Lonchura striata: one gene and its partners. The main gene of each other region encodes a partner of the protein of the gene in region 2 in a complex. Links are inferred from orthologs where the notes say so. Each region holds a gene or a part of one and is shown on either strand. Other genes may lie near its edges.

Region 1 (7,483 bases), on a different chromosome or scaffold from region 2:
GCACCATCCCCGTCCTCCCTCTCAGCTCCAGGCGTTGCCCTCTTCCCTCTTCTCTCTTCCATCTCCCAGCCCATCAACCCCATCCTCCCTCCTGACTCCCAGCTCTGGGCTTTTCCCCTGTCCTCCTCATCCTCCCGGCTCCCAGCATCACCTCCATCCTCCTCCCAGCTCCCGGGACCGTCCCCATCCCCCGGCCCAGTTCCCGACTCCAGGAGCATCAATCCCGTCCTCCCTCCCGGCTTCCAGCATCGCCCCCATCCTCCTCCTGGGATCGCCCCCATTCTCCTCCTGGGATCGCCCCCATCCTCCTCCTGGGATCGCCCCCATCCTCCCTCCGGGCTCCCGGGGACGCCCCCAGAGTCGCTCCCGGCTCGGTCCCGCTCACCCCCGGTGCAGAACTCCACGGTCTCGCTCCAGCCGGACACCAGGTACTCGCCGTCGCTCTGCTTGACCGCCGTCTGCACGGCCACGCTGTACTCGGTGCGGGGGCTCAGGAACCAGTGGCCCCGCACCGTCATGGGCAGCGGCACCGCCTTGGCCACCAGCTTGGTGGGGACATCCTGTTCCGAGCGGCGACGGTCAGGCGGGACAGCAGCCCACCGCCCGCACCGCCACCCCGCTCCGCGGGGACGCTGCCGGGTACCGCACCCCCAAAACATCCACAGAGACCCCCCAAAAATATCTACGGAGACCCCCCAAAATATCCACGGATATCCCCCTAAATATCCACGGAGTCCCTCCCAAAATATCCACGGAGTCCCCCCAAATATCCACGGATATCTCCCCAAAAAATCCATGGATACCCCCCCCAAAATATCGACGGATTCCCCCCCAGATATCCACGGAGACCGCCCCAAAATATCCACGGAGACCCCCTCAAAATATCCATGGATATCCCCCCAAAATATCCACGGAGACCCTCCCAAAATATCCACGGAGTCACTCCAAAATATCCACGGAGACCCCCCAAAAACACCGTGGTGAGCTCCCTTCTGCGATGGGGACACGGGGTCCCCGAGCTGGGGGTGGTCTCGGGGTGCAGGTGGGGGTGGTCTCGGGGTGCAGGTGGGGGTGGTCTCGGGGTGCGGGTGGGGGTGGTCTCGGGGTGCGGGTGGGGGTGGTCTCGGGGTGCAGGTGGGGGTGGTCTCGGGGTGCGGGTGGGGGTGGTCTCGGGGTGTCCCCACTCCCTGCTGCAATGGGGACACAGGGTCCCCGAGGTGGGGGTGGTCTCGGGGAGGGGGTGGGGGTGGTCTCGGGGAGGGGGTGGGGGTGGTCTTGGGGTGCCCCTGATCCCGGTGGCGATGGGGACACGGGGTCCCCGAGGTGGGGGTGGTCTCGGGGAGGGGGTGGGGGTGGTCTTGGGGTGCCCCCGCTCCCTGCCGTGATGGGGACAGGGGGTCCCCGAGGTGGGGGTGGTCTCGGGGTGCCCCTGATCCCGGTGGCGATGGGGACAGGGGGTCCCCGAGGTGGGGGTGGTCTCGGGGAGCGGGTGGGGGTGGTCTCGGGGTGCCCCCGCTCCCTGCCGTGATGGGGACAGGGGGTCCCCGAGGTGGGGGTGGTCTCGGGGAGGGGGTGGGGGTGGTCTTGGGGTGCCCCCGCTCCCGGTGGCGATGGGGACACGGGGTCCCCGAGGTGGGGGTGGTCTCGGGGAGGGGGTGGGGGTGGTCTCGGGGTGCCCCCGCTCCCTGCCGTGATGGGGACAGGGGGTCCCCGAGGTGGGGGTGGTCTCGGGGAGCGGGTGGGGGTGGTCTCGGGGTGCCCCCGCTCCCGGTGGCATCTCGCGGTGTCAATAGGCCACGGAGCAGCTCCGCAGTGCAGAGCCGTTTCTGTGGCAACGGCGGATGCTGAAGTCGGGAGATAGAGGGGAAAAAAATATCCCACCCCCCCACCCCCCCACCCCTTATTATTGGGGAGGAGAGGAAAAAAAAAAAAAACAATGTTAAACATTAAATAGCATCACCGTGGCAACGGCGCTGCTAAAAACGGCCCGAATTAGTGACTCGCAGCACGGGGAGGGGGAGCAGGAGCGGCTCCGCTCCTCCGCGGGGGCTCCGCGCGGTCCGTCACCCCCCGATCCCCATCCCAGCCTCCTCCGCCGGCGTGTCCCGTGAGGGGAATGACCCAAATTCGGCACTAGAGAGGGCTGAGAGCCAGTTCCTCCCTCCCAACCGCGTCTCCTCTCCCCGGGCAGGGGGTCCCGCGTCCTCGCCCGGCTCACCCGGTGCTTGAACTTGTTGGAATTCTTGTTCTCCTTCTTGTTGAGGTCGATGAAGTAGTGGGTGACCCTCTCCAGGTCCCCCTTCTCCATAGCCCAGGAGATGCGGAAGGAATCGCAGGTGATGTTGTTGATCTCGATGTTTTTGGGGGTGGACAGCAGCTCCATGGCCGGAGGGGCTGAGCTCCTGCGGGCACAGCGCGGGGGTCTGGCGGGTGCCGAGCCCCCTCTCGCTGCCCACGCCGCCTCTGCCAAGGCCGCCCGCGGCGGAGCAGATGGCAGCGGGCTGGAAAAGCGGCCGGGAGCCAGGAATAGGCAGCGCAGGCAGGAGCAGGCGGCGGGACGCCGGCAACAAGCCCGGTCGGGTGCGGGGGCCCCGGCCGCTCCCCCGGGTGCCGCGGGGCCCCGGCGCGACGCCAGCGGGCGTTTCGGGGTTTGCTCAACACCGGGTGGGGAAAGAAAAACAAGGGGAGAGCCGAGGGAGTTGCTGCGAGAGGGGAGGGTTGGACGCAGGCACTGGAAAAGCTGGATCCGCCTTTGCCCCGGCCCGTGCCTCAGTTTCCCTGCACCCACCAGGAAGGCGCTTTTTGGGGGCGGGGGAGGTGGGGGGGGTGGGCGATGCTCGTGGAGGGGGGACACGGAGTCACATTCGCGGCACGGGGACGGGAGGCTGGAAGCGAAGCGTGACCCGACCCCCCCAAATCTTCAGCCCGGGTTTGTGCGGGGGCAGCGGTGGCACCGCGGGGCTGCCAAGGTGCCACCACCCCCCCACCCACCCCCTCCGTGTGCCCACGGCCACCCACGCCGGGCTCAGCCGTGCGTGTCCCCGTCACTCGGCACCCACGGCCACCCACGGCCACGTGTCCCCCCCATCTGCGCAGCCCCCTGCACCCCAAAACCGCTGTCACCCCCCCACGCCAAAGCCCTTGGGCACGGCAGAAGGTCACCGCTCTGGGGACACGGTGCCACCTCGCTGCCCCGCTCCCGTGGCCGGCGGTGGCGCAGGAATTCTGCACCGGGATCGTGCCAGCTGGACCGTGTCACCGTGTCCCCGGTGCCTCGTGTCCCCTGCCAGCCCTCAGCGCCCCCCGTGTCCCCCCCTGCCCTCCGAGCATCCCTCGGCGGTGCCAGCGGGATGTCGCCCCGCTGCCAGCGGGGTTCGGCGGCCGCTCCGGTGGCAGCGGTGCCGGTGAGGGCCTTACCTGGCCGTGGCGGGGGGCTGCCGGGAGGAGCGGGGGTGCCGGTGGAGCGGCAGGGCAGGACAGAGAGCCCCGGCGGGGCTGATCCAAGCGGGAAGGACGGAGGATGCCGGAGGGATCGAGGTGGTACCCGGCGGTGCCGCGTCGCTGCCTGCGGCTGATGCGACTGGGATCCTCCCAGCCAGCTCGGAAATAGCAAACACCCTCCAGAGGAGGGAGAGGAGAGGGAAAAAAAAAAATTAAATAAAAAAATGGGGGAAAAATAGATATCCAAGGAGCTGGGAGAGAAGGGGGAGGAAGGAAAAACCTCCCGGTTCTGCCAATGGCATGGAGGGATGCGTGCGGCGTCAGGTGATGGAGGCAGAGTGGGATGTGGGTGCAGATTGGGGGTGGGTGGTGGGCAGGTTCTGCCTGTTCCCCCCCCCCATTTTTGGGGTCGGGGGGGGAGGGGTTGTCCCGGTTGTGCCGCTTGCGGGACAATGGGGACACCCCCTCCCGGCCCCAAAAATGGGATGGATGAGGAGCGTGGGAATGCTGGTACCCACACAGGACCCCCGCGAGAATGGGGTGCAGAGCCCACGGGGGGCGGACGGACGGACAGACTTTTTGTTTTGCACGTAGTAAACACCCTTCTTGCAGGGGAAAAGCTTTTTTTCGGGTGGGAGGGTGGGAGAACACCCCAAAATCCTCATTGCCCCCCAAATTTCTGCGAGGGGGTGCTCACGCATGAACCCCCTCTGTGGGGGTGCCGGCTGTGGGGCTGCAGAGGACCCTGAGGGGGTGGTCGCACTGCAGGAATCCCGTGAGGGTGTTAAATGAAAGGCTGAGTGACCCCCCAAAAATGTCCCCCCACAGCGCTGCCCCCGCTGCCCATTTGGAGAGCAGGGCGCTGCCCGTCACAAAGATGGCGCCGCCGCCTTCACACCGGCTCGGGCATTGCCAACCACAAAGATGGCAGCTCGTTGCCAAACCCGCCGTGCCCTCAGCAAAGATGGCGGCGGCAGCGTCGCCTCAGGAAGAGCGCGGCGTGAGTGACGCATGCGCAGTGGGGGCGGCGAGCCCGTGGCTGCCCGGGCAGGGTGAGGGGCGGCGTGGCGGGGCCGGGGGAGGATTTTGGGGGGTCCCGGGGGTCCTGAGGGGTGCGAGGAGGGGCAGCGAGCACGGAGGGGTCCCCCTGGGGGGCGGGGGGAGGGTGGGTCCGCTTTGGGGGTGCGCGAGGGGGTGGGAATGGCGGGGAGAGGGGGACGCGGAGGGGGCAGGGGGCGCAGGGGGGTGAGGCCCGTGAGGGGCGGGGGGCGCTGCCAGGGGGTTTTGGGGTTTTGGGGGGCCGGGGGTGGCTCATGGGGGTCCGAACCCCCGGGGAGGGGCGTGAGGGGGTGCTGGGGGGAACGGGGGGGCTGGGAGCCCCGGGGAGGGGGGAACAGGGGTCCTGTTTGGGGTGTATAGGGGACAAGGGGTCCTGTTTGGGGTGTAAGGGGTGCAAAGGGTCCTGTTTGGGTCCTGTTTGGGGTGTGTGGGGGATAAGGGGTTCTGTTCGGGGTGTAAGGGGTGCAAGGGGTCCTGTTTGGGGTCTATAGGGGACAGGGGGTCCTGTTTGGGTCCTGTTTGGGGTGTGATGGGGACAAGGGGTCCTGTTTGGGGTGTGTGGGGGATAAGGGGTCCTGTTCGGTGTGTAAGGGGTGCAAGGGGTCCTGTTTGGGGTCTATAGGGGACAGGGGCTCCTGTTTGGGTCCTGTTTGGGGTGTGATGGGGACAAGGGGTCCTGTTTGGGGTCTATAGGGGACAGGGGCTCCTGTTTGGGTCCTGTTTGGGGTGTGAGGGGGACAAGGGGTCCTGTTTGGGTCCTTTTTGGGGTGTATGGGGGACAAGGGGTCCTGTTTGGGTCCTGTTTGGGGTGTGTGGGGTGCAAGGGGGTCCTGTTTGGGTCCTGTTTGGGGTGTGTGGGGGACAAGGGGTCCTGTTTGGGGTTTATGGGGGGCTGAGACCCCCAGGGAGGGGGACAAGGGGTCCTGTTTGTGGTGTATGGGGTGCAAGGGGTCCTGTTTGGGGTGTGTGGGGGACAAGAGGTCCTTTTTGGGGTATATGGGCGGCTGAGACCCCTGGGGAGGGGACAAGGGGTCCTGTTTGGGGTGTAAGAGGTGCAAGGGGTCCTGTTTGGGGTGTGGGGGGGGATAAGGGGTCCTGTTTGGGTCCTGTTTGGGGTGTATGGGGGATAAGGGGTGTGTGTGTGGTGTGTGGGGTGCTGAGACCCCTGGGGAGGGGGCTACACGTGGACCCTATTTGGGGGTGCAGGGGGGTCATTTGTGGGGTTTGCATAGGACTGAGCCCATTTCGGGGTTCATTATTGGGATTTGAGCAGAACTGAGCCCACTTTGGGGTTGGTTATTGGGATTTGTGTAGAACTGAGCCCTGTTTGGGGTCTGTTACTGGGGTTTATGTAGAACTGAGCCCACTTTGGGGTTGGTTATTGGGATTTGTGTAGAACTGAGCCCTGTTTGGGGTCTGTTACTGGGGTTTATGTAGAATTGAGCCCAGTTTGGGGTTCATTATTGAGGTTTGTATAGAACTGAGCCCAGTTTGGGGTTGGTTATTGGGGTTTGAGCAGAACTGAGCCCAATTTAGGATCCATTATTGGGGTTTGTGCAGAACGGAGCCCAGTTTGGGGTTCATTATTGGGATTTGAGCAGAACTGAGCCATATTTGGGGTTCATTATTGGGTTTTATGTAGGGCTGAGCCCAGTTTGGGTTCCGTTCCTGGAATCTGAGCAGAACCAAGCCCAGTTTGGGGTTCATTATTGAGATTTGTGTAGAACTGAGCCCAGTTTGAGGTCCATTATTGGGGTTTATGTGGGACTGAGCCCAGTTTGGGTTCCGTTCCTGGGATTTGAGCAGAACCGAGCCCAGTTTGGGGTCTGTCACAAACCGAGCCCAGTTTGGGGTCTGTTACAAACCGAGCCCATTTTGGGGTTCATTACTGGGATTTGAGCAGAACTGAGCCCACTTTGGGGTTGGTTATTGGGATTTGTGTAGAACTGAGCCCTGTTTGGGGTCTGTTACTGGGGTTTATGTAGGACTGAGCCCAATTTAGGATCCATTATTGGCATTTGGGTAGAACTGAGCCCAGTTTGGGGTCTGTTACTGGGATTTGAGCCAAACCGAGCCCATTTTGGGGTTGGTTATTGGGATTTGTGTAGAACTGAGCCCTGTTTGGGGTCTGTCACAAACCGAGCCCATTTCGGGGTCTGTTAAAAACCGAGCCCACTTTGGGGTCTGTCACAAACCAAGCCCATTTTGGGGTCTGTCACAAACCGAGCCCATTTCGGGGTCTGTCACAAACCGAGCCCACTTTGGGGTCTGTCACAAACCAAGCCCAGTTTGGGGTCTGTCACAAACCGAGCCCATTTCGGGGTCTGTCACAAACCGAGCCCATTTCGGGGTTCATTCCTGGGATTTGAGCAGAACCGAGCCCATTTCGGGGTGCAGCCCCCAGCCCTGAACCCTCGCCCTGCCCGCAGGATGGCCGAGGGTGGCTCTGGCAGCTCGGGCTCGCCGGGCAGCGCCCGCCCGGGGCTCCGGGGGGTGCTGGGCCGGCGCCCCAGCGCCGCCCCCCAACTCGGCCCCGGCCGCCTGCCCTCCATCCGCTCCCGCGACCTCACCCTGGGCGGCGTCAAAAAGGTGAGACCCCCCTTTTCCCCCCAAAATTGGGGTCACTCCCCATCCCCAGCCAGGGTTTGGGGTGGTGACAAAGCCCAGGGTGGATTTTGGGGTGATTTTTTTTTCCTCTCTGCCCACAGAAAACCTTTGCCCCCAACATCATCAGCAGGAAGATCAAGGAGGAGTGAGTGGACATCAGGGGGGTTAAAAAAGGGGGGATGGGGATGGTTTTGGGGGGCTGGAGCGTTTTTGGTGGGGGGGAGGTTGTGGGGAGTGGAACTGGTTGGGTTGGAGAAGGGAGGAGTGGAAGGGGATCCATGGAAATATCCCAAATATCCATGGAAATGGCTGAGATATCCCAAAAGTTCGTATAAATATATCAGAATTTCATATAAATATCCTGAATATCCATAGA
Region 2 (7,816 bases):
GAGACAAAATGAGAGAAGATAGAAAGGGGAAAAAATACTAAATAAAAGCTAACGGCCTCTGCAGTTCCTGAACTTCCATGAACAACAATTGGGGGGGGGAGAGGGACAAAACCAAACTTGGATAATTTTATTTAAAACAATTTTTGGCCAAAAGGCTCCTATGCTGCCAAAAAAGCTGGAAAAAACTTCCGGCAAGTTGCAGATCTGCCCCCTCCTGGACAAACAAACGACAGGTGCTGGAAAATCGTGGAGAGACGACCTGACTCCTCCTCGGCTGGAAAAGGTATTGCAAAATTCCCTCTGGAGCAGCTTCTCGGGTATCGACTTGGAGCTCCGCCCCAGGCAATCCCCTCGGGCACCCAGGAAGAACAAACGCACTCCCCCCATGATTTCCCGTTTCTAAAGGGATCCTGCACCTCCCTTCCAGGATAAAACACACAAGTTCCTCTTTCCTGGGTTGTTTGTCTTAGGGACAGTAATACTCTTGGGCAGGCTGGCACACAGAAGATAAGGAGTACACAATTTTGGGTTATCTAGGATAGGCTGTCATTGGACCTCAGGGATAAAAGGCTTCCCTCCTTGCCCAGGGTGGAAAAGTACCCATCATTAAATACAACACTATTCCACCTACTGTGACAAAAATAATAGTCCAGCAGAGATTTGCCAATCTAGCTGCAATAATGGCCAACCCTTATGGAAAACCTAAGCCTTGCTTGGCACCTGTTTACAAAACAAATGGCGGGTGACTTTGGCACGTACCTTACTCTGCAGAAACTTAAAACACTGTTGGTTTAACACCTCCACAAACTCAGACTCGAAGTCCTGGTCACTGTACCAGGCCCCCCCAGTGACGGAGCGATCGGGCTGCAGGTTATACAGCATATAGACCTTCTTCTTGGATGCCTGTGGGAGGGAGATGTGCAGCTCTCAACAATTCCTTCCTTCATAAGGAAGGACTTGTATCCAGATAATCTGCAAAAGAGGTTTATTACTCTTATACCTAAGGCACAGCAAGCCACCTGACTCCAGGTATCCTGAACCTGTTTGTCCCTCAGGTAACACAGAGATAAAGAGAAGATCAACTCATTTTGATTCCTAATCATTTTAAAACATAGTGTTGGAAGACTAGATGAACCCAGCATTTTCACATGAACACAAAAAAGCCACTGCTTTGCTATGTCCAACTTCTCCACCCACACCTGCTTTACCAGACCCAGTGAGAACCACGTAAGTGAAGACAGCAGAGAAGCTGACCTGTGGAGCCAGTATCTGCTGCACCTCAAACCTGCACACTAAAGGTACAGAGTCAAACACTGGTGCACAGCCAAAGAGAAAGCTGGAGGTAAAATGAGGTTTCTCTGTCCCCAGGCCCCTGTTACAAGCATACAAAACATGAAGCAGATGTTTGAAATTGTTACAAAGAGAGTCACAAAATACTCACTGCCACAGATTTAACTGCTTTAATTAGTTTCTTGCTTTCCAAGTTTTTCAGTATCTTGTTGATCTCTGTTAAAGGCAGATTGCTTTTGTACCTAATGTCCCTGCTCCAAATACCTGTTAAAAAACAGAGAAGTGAACAAAAATAAATAGAAGAAACCATTTGTTTCCACATATACCAACCAAAAGTCACATCAGAACACTGCTTGGGTTGCTTGTCTGCCACTCCCAGCAAAAGGGAAGAAATGGAAGAGATTAGGAAACAAGCAGGTATGGGGCATTAGATTTTATATTTGTATTGTCTGAGCAAGCATTTGTGACTTTGGACAGAAATGGTCCCATAAGCAAACAAAGTTAGTACCATTCACAATCATAATTTAAAGTACCTTTGTTGCCTGCGTCCTCTATGATTTGGTAAACCAGCTTCTCTTGATTGTCAGAACCTTTCATCTTACTGTAAAACAAGACAGACACCAGGATTTTTGAAAGGTCCAAAATTTGAAAGAAGTTTGATTTGTTTAAAACAATAATTGAAGTTTCATTTGTTTTAAACAGGAATTGTGTTCCAAACATACTTACCCAGCAGACACAGACTTACCTTGCATTTTGGGAATCTTTGATTCTGTACAGGAGACCTGCACTGCTCCTCAGAAGGTCCAGCTGCCCCTAGGAGAGATGGGCACAATGCATTTACTTTCCTTCAAACAGCTTGTTTCAGAGGGTATTTTAGAAAAATATTCTGAAATTCTAGAGCAAAACCATTGTTTAATGTCAACTAAATAAAGAAAAATAAAAACTAATGTTTCTAACCACTGGAAACAGTAACAGCCTTGAGGATATTTTTTTCCCCTGACAAATTTCCACTTATCATCAGCTATCAGAAATAACAAACAGTTCCTGACCCTCCCCATCCCTAATGGGCCTGTGGTTATGTGTGTGCTGAGGAAGATGAGGAAGGCGGGCTGTCCCTACCATGGAGAGCAGCCTGTTGATGGCCACAGCTCTCTGCTGGGCTTCCATGTGAGGCATGTCATTCTGGATCACCTGGTCCGTGATGCCATGGGGGAACTGGTGGCAGAGTTCAATGATCCTGCAGGAGGAGAGAAGCGACTTTAAAAGCCATGTTCTGCTGCATCCAAACCGTACTGGAGTCAGGATGGAAGAGGGTGACAAGAGCAACTCCGGGGAAAAGTATCCATCAATTACTTCTTGAGGGAGCTCGGCACCAATCCCTGTGCACCGTTTCCCTTTCCAAGACCAGAAAAACTCCGGGACAGCCGAAAGTGACCTGACCCAACCCTCACTGCCCCCTAAGCACCTCCCAGCACGAAGCTCCCCGTGCCCCTAACAACCCTCTCCTCCAGCATCCATTTCCTGGTTAACACTCGAGCGTCGAACCACCCCACAAAGGTCCTGAACGACAACGCCCCGCCACGCCTGCTTCCCCCAGCCCCAAAACCCGTCCTCTGCGGCCTTCACACAGCCACCAGCACCTGCTCTCGATGTCCATGGGATCGGGCACCTCCGGCTTCACCTTCACCTCCGCCATGGCACCGCGGGCTCCGGCGCGCCGAGATGACGTCAGCGCCGCGCCACGGCGGCGGCGGCGTCCCTGGAAACGGAGCGGCGGGCGAGCAGGGCCGCACGCCGGCGGTGGAGCGGGCAGAGCTGTGAGGCCGCGCCCTGGAGCGGCGGGGAGCGGGCGGGGTGGCGGTGCGTCCCGCCAGGGATGCGATCCCAAAAGGCTGGAGCGGAGCCTGGGTGTGCCAAGGGCGTGAGGGGAAGGCTGAACGCCCGCTCGGGTCGGGGAGAGCTGATCGCCCGTGCTTGGTGGTGTGTGTCAGGGGATGGACCAGGCTCTGCTCCGGGGTGCCCGAAAATGAGACAGGAGGCGACAGGGAGAATCTGGGACACGGGAAGTGCCGCACTTGCACGGGAAAGGTTCACCCTCGCCCTGTAAAGGTGGAACAGATTGCCCAAAGAGGGTGGGGAGTGTCCCTCACTCCTGCATTGATGAGTAGCATCAGAGCTGTTTCTGGAGCCCTGGAGGTGGTGACAAAACCAAATCCTTGTAGCACAGACGTGTTTCCTGGCCCTGAGTATCAATTCCCAAGATCTGGAGTACATATCTTTGTTTTGTAAAATGTCATTGTATCCAAATGCAATTTTTCACTCTTGAATTACATGCCATGATAATGACTATGTATATCAGGATAAATCAGGTTTTCATGGATATATTCTGGATCCACATGATATCTGGCATAAGCTTAAGAAACAGCTGTTTTTCTTTAGTCCTTTCCAGGGCATGCTGTACTCAGGTGGCCATAGTGGGACGAGGCTGGTTTCACATATGACATGGTGAGGGTGGAGATTCCTGTCCCTTACTCCTTCCATGTATCACTGACATGAGGTGCTGGAGCTGTTCTAGCTCAAACACACAGAATCACAGTCACAGGATGGTTTAAAGAATCCAGTTTTCTCTCTTTTAAGAGAAACAAATGAAGACCAGGAGTCATGCTAAATGACTGTTTCTCAGTGCATTCTTCTTTTTAGTTAAATGATTGTCTGCCTTTTTACTTTTCTATTTTAAAGATCACTGCTGAGAAAAATGACAGCTGGCTCTGTCTCAGCTCCTCAGATCATCCCACTTCGAATCCCACCTCCAGGGAAAGCTCAACGGGAAATAGACACAAATACTCTCATAGAAATAAAATCAGGTATGCACAAGAGCTTTAACTCCACCTCAAACCTGTACTTATGTGTCCATTTGAAATATTTGGCATTTATACTTTTTTCATATTTAGTCATGATTTTTGTAGCATGCATTTCATTAAGGAACTTAAAAAGTTAACTAACAGGTTTGATGCACCAGATACACTTGCATGTAATTTTATTTATCGCAACAACATTACTGACATATGTGTAGCAGTCTTAATTGCTTCCAAGGCCAAACTTTTAAGCTGTTGCATTTGGCTTTGACGGCAAAAACAGTTCTTGAAAGAATCATGTGCCAGGCTCACTCCCAACATTGTCGTTACAGTTTTTGAATTATCACCTTTTGCTGTGGCAGAAAATACCCTTTCTGTTGTTGGAATGGACAAGCTGCTGCAATGTTTGTGTGCAAAATCGTTTTACAGATACTTTTCTGTCAGAAATATTGCTTATAATGAAATTGCTTTTGTTGAATAACTGATATTTCATGGAAGAAACAGTTTTGATCCCAAATATTTGGTCTCTTATGGAACTACTTTATTTTCTTTATGTGAGCAAAATCAAGCACTGTAGTGAGTAATTTGTTTTTCCAAGGTTGCCTACAGTCTGAGGAATTACTTTTTCTGTTTCTTTCAGATACACCTGAGGCCTCTATTTATTACACTTTAGATGGAAGCAAACCAGAACTCATTAGGAAACCTGGCTATGGACCACATAACACTTTGGAGTATAAGGGTCCTATCATATTACCAGTGGGGAAAATAATAGTTAAAGCCCTGGCAGTTACAAAGTGAGTATCCTGTTTTGGTTTATTTTTGGCAAGGGACAGACATCCCTGTCACAGCTTGTGTTGTCTAAAGCGTTCCATACCCTGCAAGTGAGAGATTAGCCTTTCCCCAGGCAGTTTGCAAACTCGTGAATAGCACTGAGTTGGCTTTCTCAGGATAATTTTTATCCATCAAGTGTTTGTGTGATTGGATAACCTCTTGGGTGTTTTCTCCTGGACTCAGAGTGTCCAGTGATCCTGGAGGCTGTGGGTGAGGAGGTGATGTACTGAGAGCTCATCCTTTGGAGTGTGACCATCAGAAACACCAGAGAAACCAGGCTGGTGTTTCTGGGGTCATCCAGTGGTTCAGTGGATTTATAGAAGCTGGTTTTCCCAGGAATTTGTTTAGCTTCTCCCAAAGGATCACAGAATGCCGAACCTCACAGCTTAAGTATACAACGTTGGTTGAAGCAAAAATACAATACACGAAAAGAAAACTGGATTTTGCTGCACTGCCACTGACTTTGTCAGAAATAACTTCATGCTTAGAGACAGAGAAAGGACACATCATTTCTCTGTCTGTACTGTATTGCATTATCTTTTATTTCCAAGGGAGCAGGAACTTCCACTCCACTTGGAGATTTGTGTCTGCTGTTCCCTGTTAGCAGCACCTGCAGTCAGCCTGTGCTTGTGGCTGCACTGCAATACAACAACATTATATAACACTCAAAACCTAGGCTTATATTTATTTTCTTGCCATCACTGCCTAGACTAACACTTATTTGCAGTCTGTTTATATTAAGACATTTTCATAGATTCACTATAATGATATAAATAAAAGCTTGGAAGGGATGTTCCACCTAATAAGCCACATCCATCAGTGATTTTCATGTTGCAGCATACAGGTCTGTGTTGGATTCTTAGCTGTGGGAATATTGATTTTCAGGGACTACAGGGAGAGTTCAATTGTGACAAAGGTGTTTGTGGTAGAGTACCAGCAACCAAACATCCTTTTCCCGGTTGAAGATGATGACAAGAATTTCCTAAAAGATATAGCCACACAGGTAAGTTTTGGAAATTGTAACCCCTTGTGTGATTGTAAAATGTTGTATATATGATATTACTTAGAGATTAAGCTTTGACTGCCAGTTTTATTCACATATATAATTTTCTCTGTTTGCCCATCTTTGCTGCTTTGGTCCTTTCTGTAATATTAAAATTAAGCTTTTCGCATGCTTGCATTGAAAATAAATACCTTAAACATGTACTTTTAAAATTTTAACAAATAACTATAGCAGGAGAGGATGAGAGCAAAAGCAAAAAAATGTATTTGTAATTCAAATGGAATTACATTTTAGAATAAGGAAGGTGGAACATTTACTACAAAACCTAAGAAGAATAGACTGAATGTGGAAATCAAGCCTGCCTGGGATGAAACATCCCAAGACCTTCAAGGTAAGTATCACTTCATAAAACTGAGATAGTCTTCTATTCTAGCAGAAAGTTGCAAAGAGTTTCCCTCTTGTTTTGCTTGTAAAATGTGGGTAATTTTAAAATCCTCTCAGAAGACAGAGCATCCTGTGGAAATTCCAGTTTTGATTGCTCAACACTGCAAATAGAGAACAGAATTTACTTTGCATACATTTCACATGACTTCTTAAAAACATATTAAAACATCAATCATTTCTCAGCAACACACCAAAGCCCTGTCTGTATTTCCCTTTGTGCCAGAAGATGCTGTTAAATTGATGGGATTGCAAATCCTTTACAGAGTTTCTTTACTGATGTTTGCTTGCAGCAAGATTCCAAAATAAATACACTGAGCAGAAATGAAAGCTTCACCCAGATTTTCTCTGTAGATAAAGTCTCTTATTCCTTGGCAACAGCAATGGGACTGTTTTAGAGCAGGTAACTGTATTAATGTTTACTCATTAGTTTACTCTTAGGAGCTGGGATTTTTCTTCCTTCATGCAGGAAGGAAGAAAACTGTAAATAAATTAAAATACAAAAGTAAGCTCTGTCAGAGAAGTGTGGGGGTTCTCCTAGTTTAATTTCCTGTGATTCTATGCAGCTTATTTGAACCCAAAATGTGCATGCCAAATATGTTTTTGATTATGCTTAGTGAGAGTATGTAACATTCCTGTTTAGATATCTATTAACTGCATGAAGTGGGTGACAGTGGAATAACAGGATTGTAATTTTAATCTTGGAAACAGACAGGCCTTCTCACAGGTCCCCTCAAGGACCTCAGCTCCTTGCCAGTGGTTTGGGAGCTGCAAAGCACAGAGAGAAATCCACTTCAGCACAACCAGTGGAGTCATTGCAGGTGAGCAGAGGGCTAGGCGAAAGTTGTGCAAGGCTGTCATCAGGACAGAGGTCTAAAAAAAGGAGGTGAAGATTGGTGATCTCTCTCAGCTAGTAATGACTTTGCCTGGATTCTACAGTCCTGATTTAAATGCATTGGTAGTGATCCACTAGAATGGGAATGCCCAAAGCAGGACACAGTTGTCAATATGGACAAAACCAGGCAAAGGAAATCAACACTGACTGCATTCCTATTAATTCTTTCCTAATGCATTCCTGAATCTGCAGTTAGCAAATACTTAGTGCTGTTTGTTGGCAAGTTAATATTGAAAACTCAATATTCAGTAATGTTGTGGTGGAAGTACATAGCAAGGCATTGATTTATTTTTATTAGAAGAAGCTATGTAGCTAATGGGGGAATCAAGGATAATAAGTACTCCTCAAAGTAGTGCATTTCAGTGCAACTTATTTCAAATTACATCTGTAGATGATTTTTATATTTCTATATGCATTTTGGAAATATTTCCTTACTAAAACATAAAGAATTACCTCTGTTTCAGTTTGCAAGTTCCTCTGCAGTGACTAGCCAGAAAAGCT
Region 3 (5,311 bases), on a different chromosome or scaffold from region 2:
GCCTGTTGGAGGGAGTGTCCATGGAGATTAAATGTTACAATTTGTGCTCCATCATGTTTTTATTAAGTTATTTATCGTTTTTACTTCTGAAAACTGAGAATAAAGCTTGATGTTAAAACACAAGTAATATGTGATCCTACTTGAAGCACATTCTCCTTTTATCAGTAACTGGTTGCAGTGTGTAGTTTGTAGTTCCTGCTTTAACTGACAGGATTTTCACAGGTCACAGCCAAGCCCCTTTTTTTTATTTTTGGTTCTCTGTAAGGGCACAGTGGTTACACTTCCCCTCTGCTTTACCTGCTGTGCTGTGCTCGGGGCTGAGGCGTGGGGGGTTTCCTCACCGTGCTTCAGCTCGGCTACCTTCACACCTGTCTGTTCAAACACGGGTTTCTCGGTGTGACCGTATCACCCTGCCCCGTGTGCGTTGGGGGCACAGCACCGTGCTGGAGCCTGTTCGCCCTCCCTGTCCGGCCCAAAGCAACCACGCAGCAGCCGCTCGCTCGCCCGCAGCGCTGTTTATTGCGGGAGCAGCAGCGATTCTAAACCCGCTCCCCCGGCCCTCAGTCCCGCCAGCGGTGCCCGCACTGCGGGTTGCAGCACTTGTAGAAGGTGGTCATGGGCTCGTCGGCCGAGCGCGTCTGGATCTGCATGAAGTAGGCGCGGGGGTGCTCGCACTTGGGGCACGGCTCTGCGGGAAAGCGCCGTGAGGGGCCGTGAGGGGCGGCGGGGCCCAGCCAGCCCCGCGCCGCCCCTCGGCCCGGCCCTACCTGCCGTGGAGTCCACGTTCTCCCAGGCCGCGGCGCCGCCCAGCACATCGTCCACCTCCTTCAGCCGCGGGTACTTCCTGCTGGTCACCTGCGGGACGGGCACGGGAGCGGCTCAGCCCGGGCCCCGCGCCCCGCGCCCCGAGCACGGCGGCCCCCGCCCCGCGCCGCCCCGCCGCGGTACCTTCCGCGTCACGTTGCGCACGTAGGGACAGGTGGTGCAGGCGAAGCGGTGGCAGCGCGGCCCCTCCTCGGCCACCAGCACGTTCCCGCAGGCCGGGCAGAAGAGCAGCATCGCGGGTTCCGCCGCGCCGCCCGCCCCTTCCGGCGATGGCGGCCGCGGGGCCGGCGGAGGAGCCGGCGGAGGAGCTGGCGCACGCCGAGGTGCTGGAGCTGTTCCAGGCGGCGCTGGCGCGGCTGGTGCAGGACCCGCTGCTCTGCGACCTCCCCCCGCAGGTGCGCCCGGGGCGCGGGGCCGGGCCGGCGCGGCTGGGCTGGGCTCACGGCCGCGTCCCTCGCCCGCAGGTGACGGCGGAGGAGATCGGCTCGCAGGTGGCCCTGGAGTACGGGCAGGCCATGACGGTGCGGGTGTGCAAGGCGGACGGCGAGACCGTGCGTGCGTGCGGGGCCGGGCGGGGCGGGCGGGGCCGGCGGGGCGCGCCTGACGCGGCTCTCCCGCCCGCAGCCGTGGTGGTGGTGCAGAACGCCTCGGTGCTGGAGCTGAAGAAGGCGCTGCGGCGGCACATCCAGCTGAGGCAGGCCCGGCAGGGCGGTGTCCAGCACCTCAGCTGGTGAGCGGGGCCGGGCGGGCGGCTCGGGAGCGCGCCCCAGCCCGGCGCCGCTCCCGCGGCTGCCCCTGAGCGCTTTTCCCGCAGGAGGTACATCTGGAGGACGTACCACCTCACGTACAATGGAGAGAAGCTGGCGGATGACAGGAAGAAGCTGAGAGAGTGAGTTACGAGTCAGCGCTGGGGGTGAGGGGCCCACGCAGCGTCCCCACGGGCAGGGCTGAGCTGGGAGGTTGTGCCCTGGATCACGGGTCCTGTAGTGGACATTGCCAGGAAAGGTGGGACAGCACTGACCACAGAAGCGGGACAGGAAGACTGAGAGGCTCTCTGCAGGACAGGCTGGCCCTGGGGGGTTCCTCATCCTCAGCCAGCACCATCCTGTGCTGGTTCAGCCAGTGCAGGGCACCCCACAGAACCCTTGGCCATCCCTCCCAAGCTCCTGCAGATGGTTACAGTTACTCAGCTCGGCACAGATATTGATGTAGGACAGGAAAGAGCAGGGAACAGGAACAGGGAGGCTGTGGATGCCCCAGCCTTGGCAGTGGTCAAGGCCAGGTTAGATAAGGCTTTGAGGAACCTGGCCTAGTGAGAGGTGTCCTGTCCATGGCAGGGATGTTGACACTGGATGCTCTGTAAGGTCCACTCCAACCCTGTAACATTCTGTGATTCTATGATGAATGCCAAGCAAAGAGGAAACCCAAGGATGGGTGTTGATCTTTGGGGCTGCTCAGCCACCTCTCAGACACTCTGGTAACAACGCTGACAGGTGATTCCCATGTTTCCCTGCCCATTCTTGAGGCGAGGTAGAATAAGGCACTTCCCTGCAGTGCTGGGTCTGCCAGCCTGTTGCAGACCAGCGAGAAAAGGTGGTCTGAAGTACTAAAAATTCAGCAAGACAGCCCTAATCAAAGCTGTCCTTGGAAGAGTGAGCCTGGGTGACAGATGTTGCATTTAAGGGGTCGTTGCACTTAAAGGCAGATGAGCAGATCCTTCAGTGCTGGCAGCACATCCCACATACACAAGTGAGAATTTTAATGTGTCCTCTAGTAGAGCACAACATGGGATTGTAGGAGTCCCTATGTCCCTGGGAAAGATGAAGCTATAGGGTTTTACAGGTTGTTTTTCCTGGGAAGCTGGCATTAACAGCATAACTCTGTGTTCAGGTATGGCATCAGGAACCGGGATGAGGTCAGCTTCATAAAGAAGCTTCGGAAGTAACCTGTGGGGTGAGTCCCAGACGTCCATTAAGAGCTCCCAGTTCCTCATCTTCCCCAGGCCATGGTGTTGAGGCTCAGAGCTGATGCTGCTGCTCTCTGCTGGCTGGCAGAGTATTTCTGAATGCCTGCACTGGGCTGGTGCCTGTTTCCAGATCCTGGTAATGTTGTTTGTGCTATTCTCAGGGCAGGGAATGATAATTCAGCTATTTCAGGTAACATAAACTGGGAGCAGCAGCAGGAATAGCTGACTTTATGTTTAGATTCTCAATCTGCTTCTACATTGTCTTGAGACTCATTAAACACAGTGTTCTTTTGCTGCTGTGATTGCTTCTAGGACCTTGCTTTCTTTTAGGCTTTTTAAATGTCTGGAAATCATTGTCAGGAGCATGGCTGGGTTTCTAACTCATGCAGACATAATTCTGGTATTAATACTGCTATTTTGAGAAAGCTGTGCACACAAACACAAGATGTGGCCAAGACTCTCAGGCTTACTAAGTTTTAAATTACGCTTTTAGAAACAGTCACAGTGGCTGAAGAACGAGTAAGAGCAGCTTGTCCAAAGCCTTGTGTTGTTTTGCTGCTCCAGGCAGCTGGGTTAAAAACTGTTCCTTTTTGACCGCAGTTACCTTTTATTCTTCTTTCAACACTGCCATATTTTCAAGATCCAGTGTAATAAAATGTGCGCCCTAACAACAGCCACCTGCTCCAGGGTGCTTGTGACCAGCAGTCACCTCTGGCACTGGCTGGTCTCTCCTGGGCCATCATGGCAGCGTGGTGAGAAAAGATCAGCATGCAATAATTATTGTCACTGACAAATATTTTCTTTCTTAAACAGAGAGAGCAGAGAATCCAGCCCTACCAAGACCAGACTGTGGATTAAGCACCTTCCTGGAGGAAAAGGCTGTCACACTTCAAAGAGGAACAAACTCCATTGACTGGACATTCTCACGTTTTTTACAGTTGCTCTTTGTGGTGTTTGCCTCTGAGCTGTATGTGGGTTGCAGGGATTAAAGAGATCCTCTAGTTTTCTGAGGTTTTTCAGGCCCTTATTTCCAGCTGCAGATGTGTATCTGGCTGGTTTGGGTGCTCCACAGGGTACATAAAACAGCAGGAGTGAGATTAAGTAACAAAGGTAGGCACAGACTACTCAGAACAATTCACAGTAGCTAAAACGCTACCTCACTGTTTAATCACCACCTCAGCAGTAGTAAACAACTCTGGTTAAAAATGTAGTATTGAAACTAGTGTAATAAAAATAATGGCAGCAGAAAAGGTTCAATACAATTGAACAAGGCACAAATGTTCTGTTTTTCAGAGTCTTCTGAGATAAGGCAAACCATGCCTGCCAAGTGCTAAGGAGACAGTTTAAATTAACCACGGGCAGGGTTAGAAGTGTCATTGGATTAGAGGCTTTGTCCCCATGGAACTGGCACAGCAAATGCAAAGACAGTCCATCTCCAGGGCCTGCTCGAGAAGCCAGTCTTTGCTGTCAGTGGAGCTGTGCATCCAGGTCGTATTTCTCGCAGAATTTGTCTGTGAAGGGTATACAAGTGAGGAACTCGCACCACTCGCACTTGATGGGGTAGAAATAGAACAGAATCACCAGTCCTGAGAAGAGTGCGATGAAGATGAGCTGGAAAACTATAATTTGGCATCGTTTCCTATATAAATCAAACTTCCCAAAGCTAATGTAGGGCAGGAAGGCAAAGGAGAGGAAGAAACCACTGATAAATCCTGAAATGTGAGCGAAATTATCGATCCAAGGCAGGAGGCCAAAGGCAAAAAGAAAGAGCACCACAGCCAGCAGCTTGAAGAAAGCCCTCCATGGGCGTGCCAGGATTTGCCAACTCTGGAAGAGCTCCACAAAGAGACAGGCCAGAATTCCAAATTGGGATCCTGCAGGGCCAACCTGCAGAAGAAGAGCATTACAGATAATGTCAGGCTCATGCCACGTTCCTGGCCTCTGCAGCCAGCTCCAGGAATTAGTTGCTTCTTACTCAAATCCTGTTCAGTGGTTCTTGGCAAAGAGACTCTCCAACTTCATCCATATAATGGGGTGCTGGGAGTAAAGGGATCAAGGTGTGGATTTAGGATCAAGGTGTGAGGCCAGAACAGACTAAGGAGGGCAGATCTGGTTCAAGCTGCCAGAGGGGAGTAGCCCTTGAAGGCAATCTCCTGGCTTGCCCCACCCACCCTGTAGTTTTCCTTAGGAGCTGGAAGGCTCCTGCAGGTCCAGCCATGCAGTCTCCTGTGGGCAGGGTGAGGTCTGCTCTTTGCCACTCTCAGGCGGAGGCTGCTGACACCACACTTGATTCCGAGCCTGCCTGGGGCCCCTCTCACCCCGTGGCTGGACAGTCCCCCATCTGTTATGAGAAGCAGCCTTCTTCCTGCAGCCAGCCAGGCCAGCCACTTGCAAAGCCCCTGGTACCCCGGGATGTTGCTGCTCAGCAGCTGAATGATGGTGTGCTGCCATCCTTGAGCTGCAGTGCCAAGGCTGCAGTGGTGAGCCCAGCTCTGCTCGCTCTGCCTCAGCCACAGAGGC

Evidence for each region. The genes of interacting proteins can lie anywhere in the genome.
Region 1: POLR3F (region 2) and POLR3D share a complex: the UniProt entries of both Homo sapiens proteins name them as parts of the RNA polymerase III complex. The link is inferred for Lonchura striata from reciprocal best matches to the Homo sapiens genes POLR3F and POLR3D.
Region 3: POLR3F (region 2) and POLR3K share a complex: the UniProt entries of both Homo sapiens proteins name them as parts of the RNA polymerase III complex. The link is inferred for Lonchura striata from reciprocal best matches to the Homo sapiens genes POLR3F and POLR3K.

The regions. Positions count from the first base shown.
Region 1 is NC_134634.1:3,550,333-3,557,815, reverse strand, and holds the start of POLR3D (DNA-directed RNA polymerase III subunit RPC4), read left to right. Parts: upstream 1-4,483; 5' UTR 4,484-4,493; intron 4,494-6,929; 5' UTR 6,930-6,930; coding exon 6,931-7,089; intron 7,090-7,208; coding exon 7,209-7,252; intron 7,253-7,483. Other genes in the region: PHYHIP (phytanoyl-CoA hydroxylase-interacting protein), read right to left, coding at 386-560, 2,219-2,383. UniProt on the Homo sapiens protein: DNA-dependent RNA polymerase catalyzes the transcription of DNA into RNA using the four ribonucleoside triphosphates as substrates.
Region 2 is NC_134605.1:22,422,102-22,429,917, forward strand, and holds the start of POLR3F (DNA-directed RNA polymerase III subunit RPC6), read right to left. Parts: upstream 3,009-7,816; 5' UTR 2,987-3,008; coding exon 2,931-2,986; intron 2,528-2,930; coding exon 2,410-2,527; intron 2,104-2,409; coding exon 2,036-2,103; intron 1,892-2,035; coding exon 1,824-1,891; intron 1,555-1,823; coding exon 1,442-1,554; intron 904-1,441; coding exon 760-903; intron 1-759. Other genes in the region: DZANK1 (double zinc ribbon and ankyrin repeat-containing protein 1), read left to right, coding at 4,046-4,154, 4,786-4,939, 5,862-5,979, 6,274-6,370, 7,132-7,241, 7,780-7,816. UniProt on the Homo sapiens protein: DNA-dependent RNA polymerase catalyzes the transcription of DNA into RNA using the four ribonucleoside triphosphates as substrates.
Region 3 is NC_134618.1:4,521,895-4,527,205, reverse strand, and holds POLR3K (DNA-directed RNA polymerase III subunit RPC10), read right to left. Parts: upstream 1,083-5,311; 5' UTR 1,060-1,082; coding exon 949-1,059; intron 856-948; coding exon 768-855; intron 689-767; coding exon 561-688; 3' UTR 501-560; downstream 1-500. Other genes in the region: SNRNP25 (U11/U12 small nuclear ribonucleoprotein 25 kDa protein), read left to right, coding at 1,095-1,220, 1,290-1,380, 1,450-1,555, 1,640-1,714, 2,716-2,770; RHBDF1 (inactive rhomboid protein 1), read right to left, coding at 4,259-4,678. UniProt on the Homo sapiens protein: Core component of RNA polymerase III (Pol III) which synthesizes small non-coding RNAs using the four ribonucleoside triphosphates as substrates. Can mediate Pol I proofreading of the nascent RNA transcript.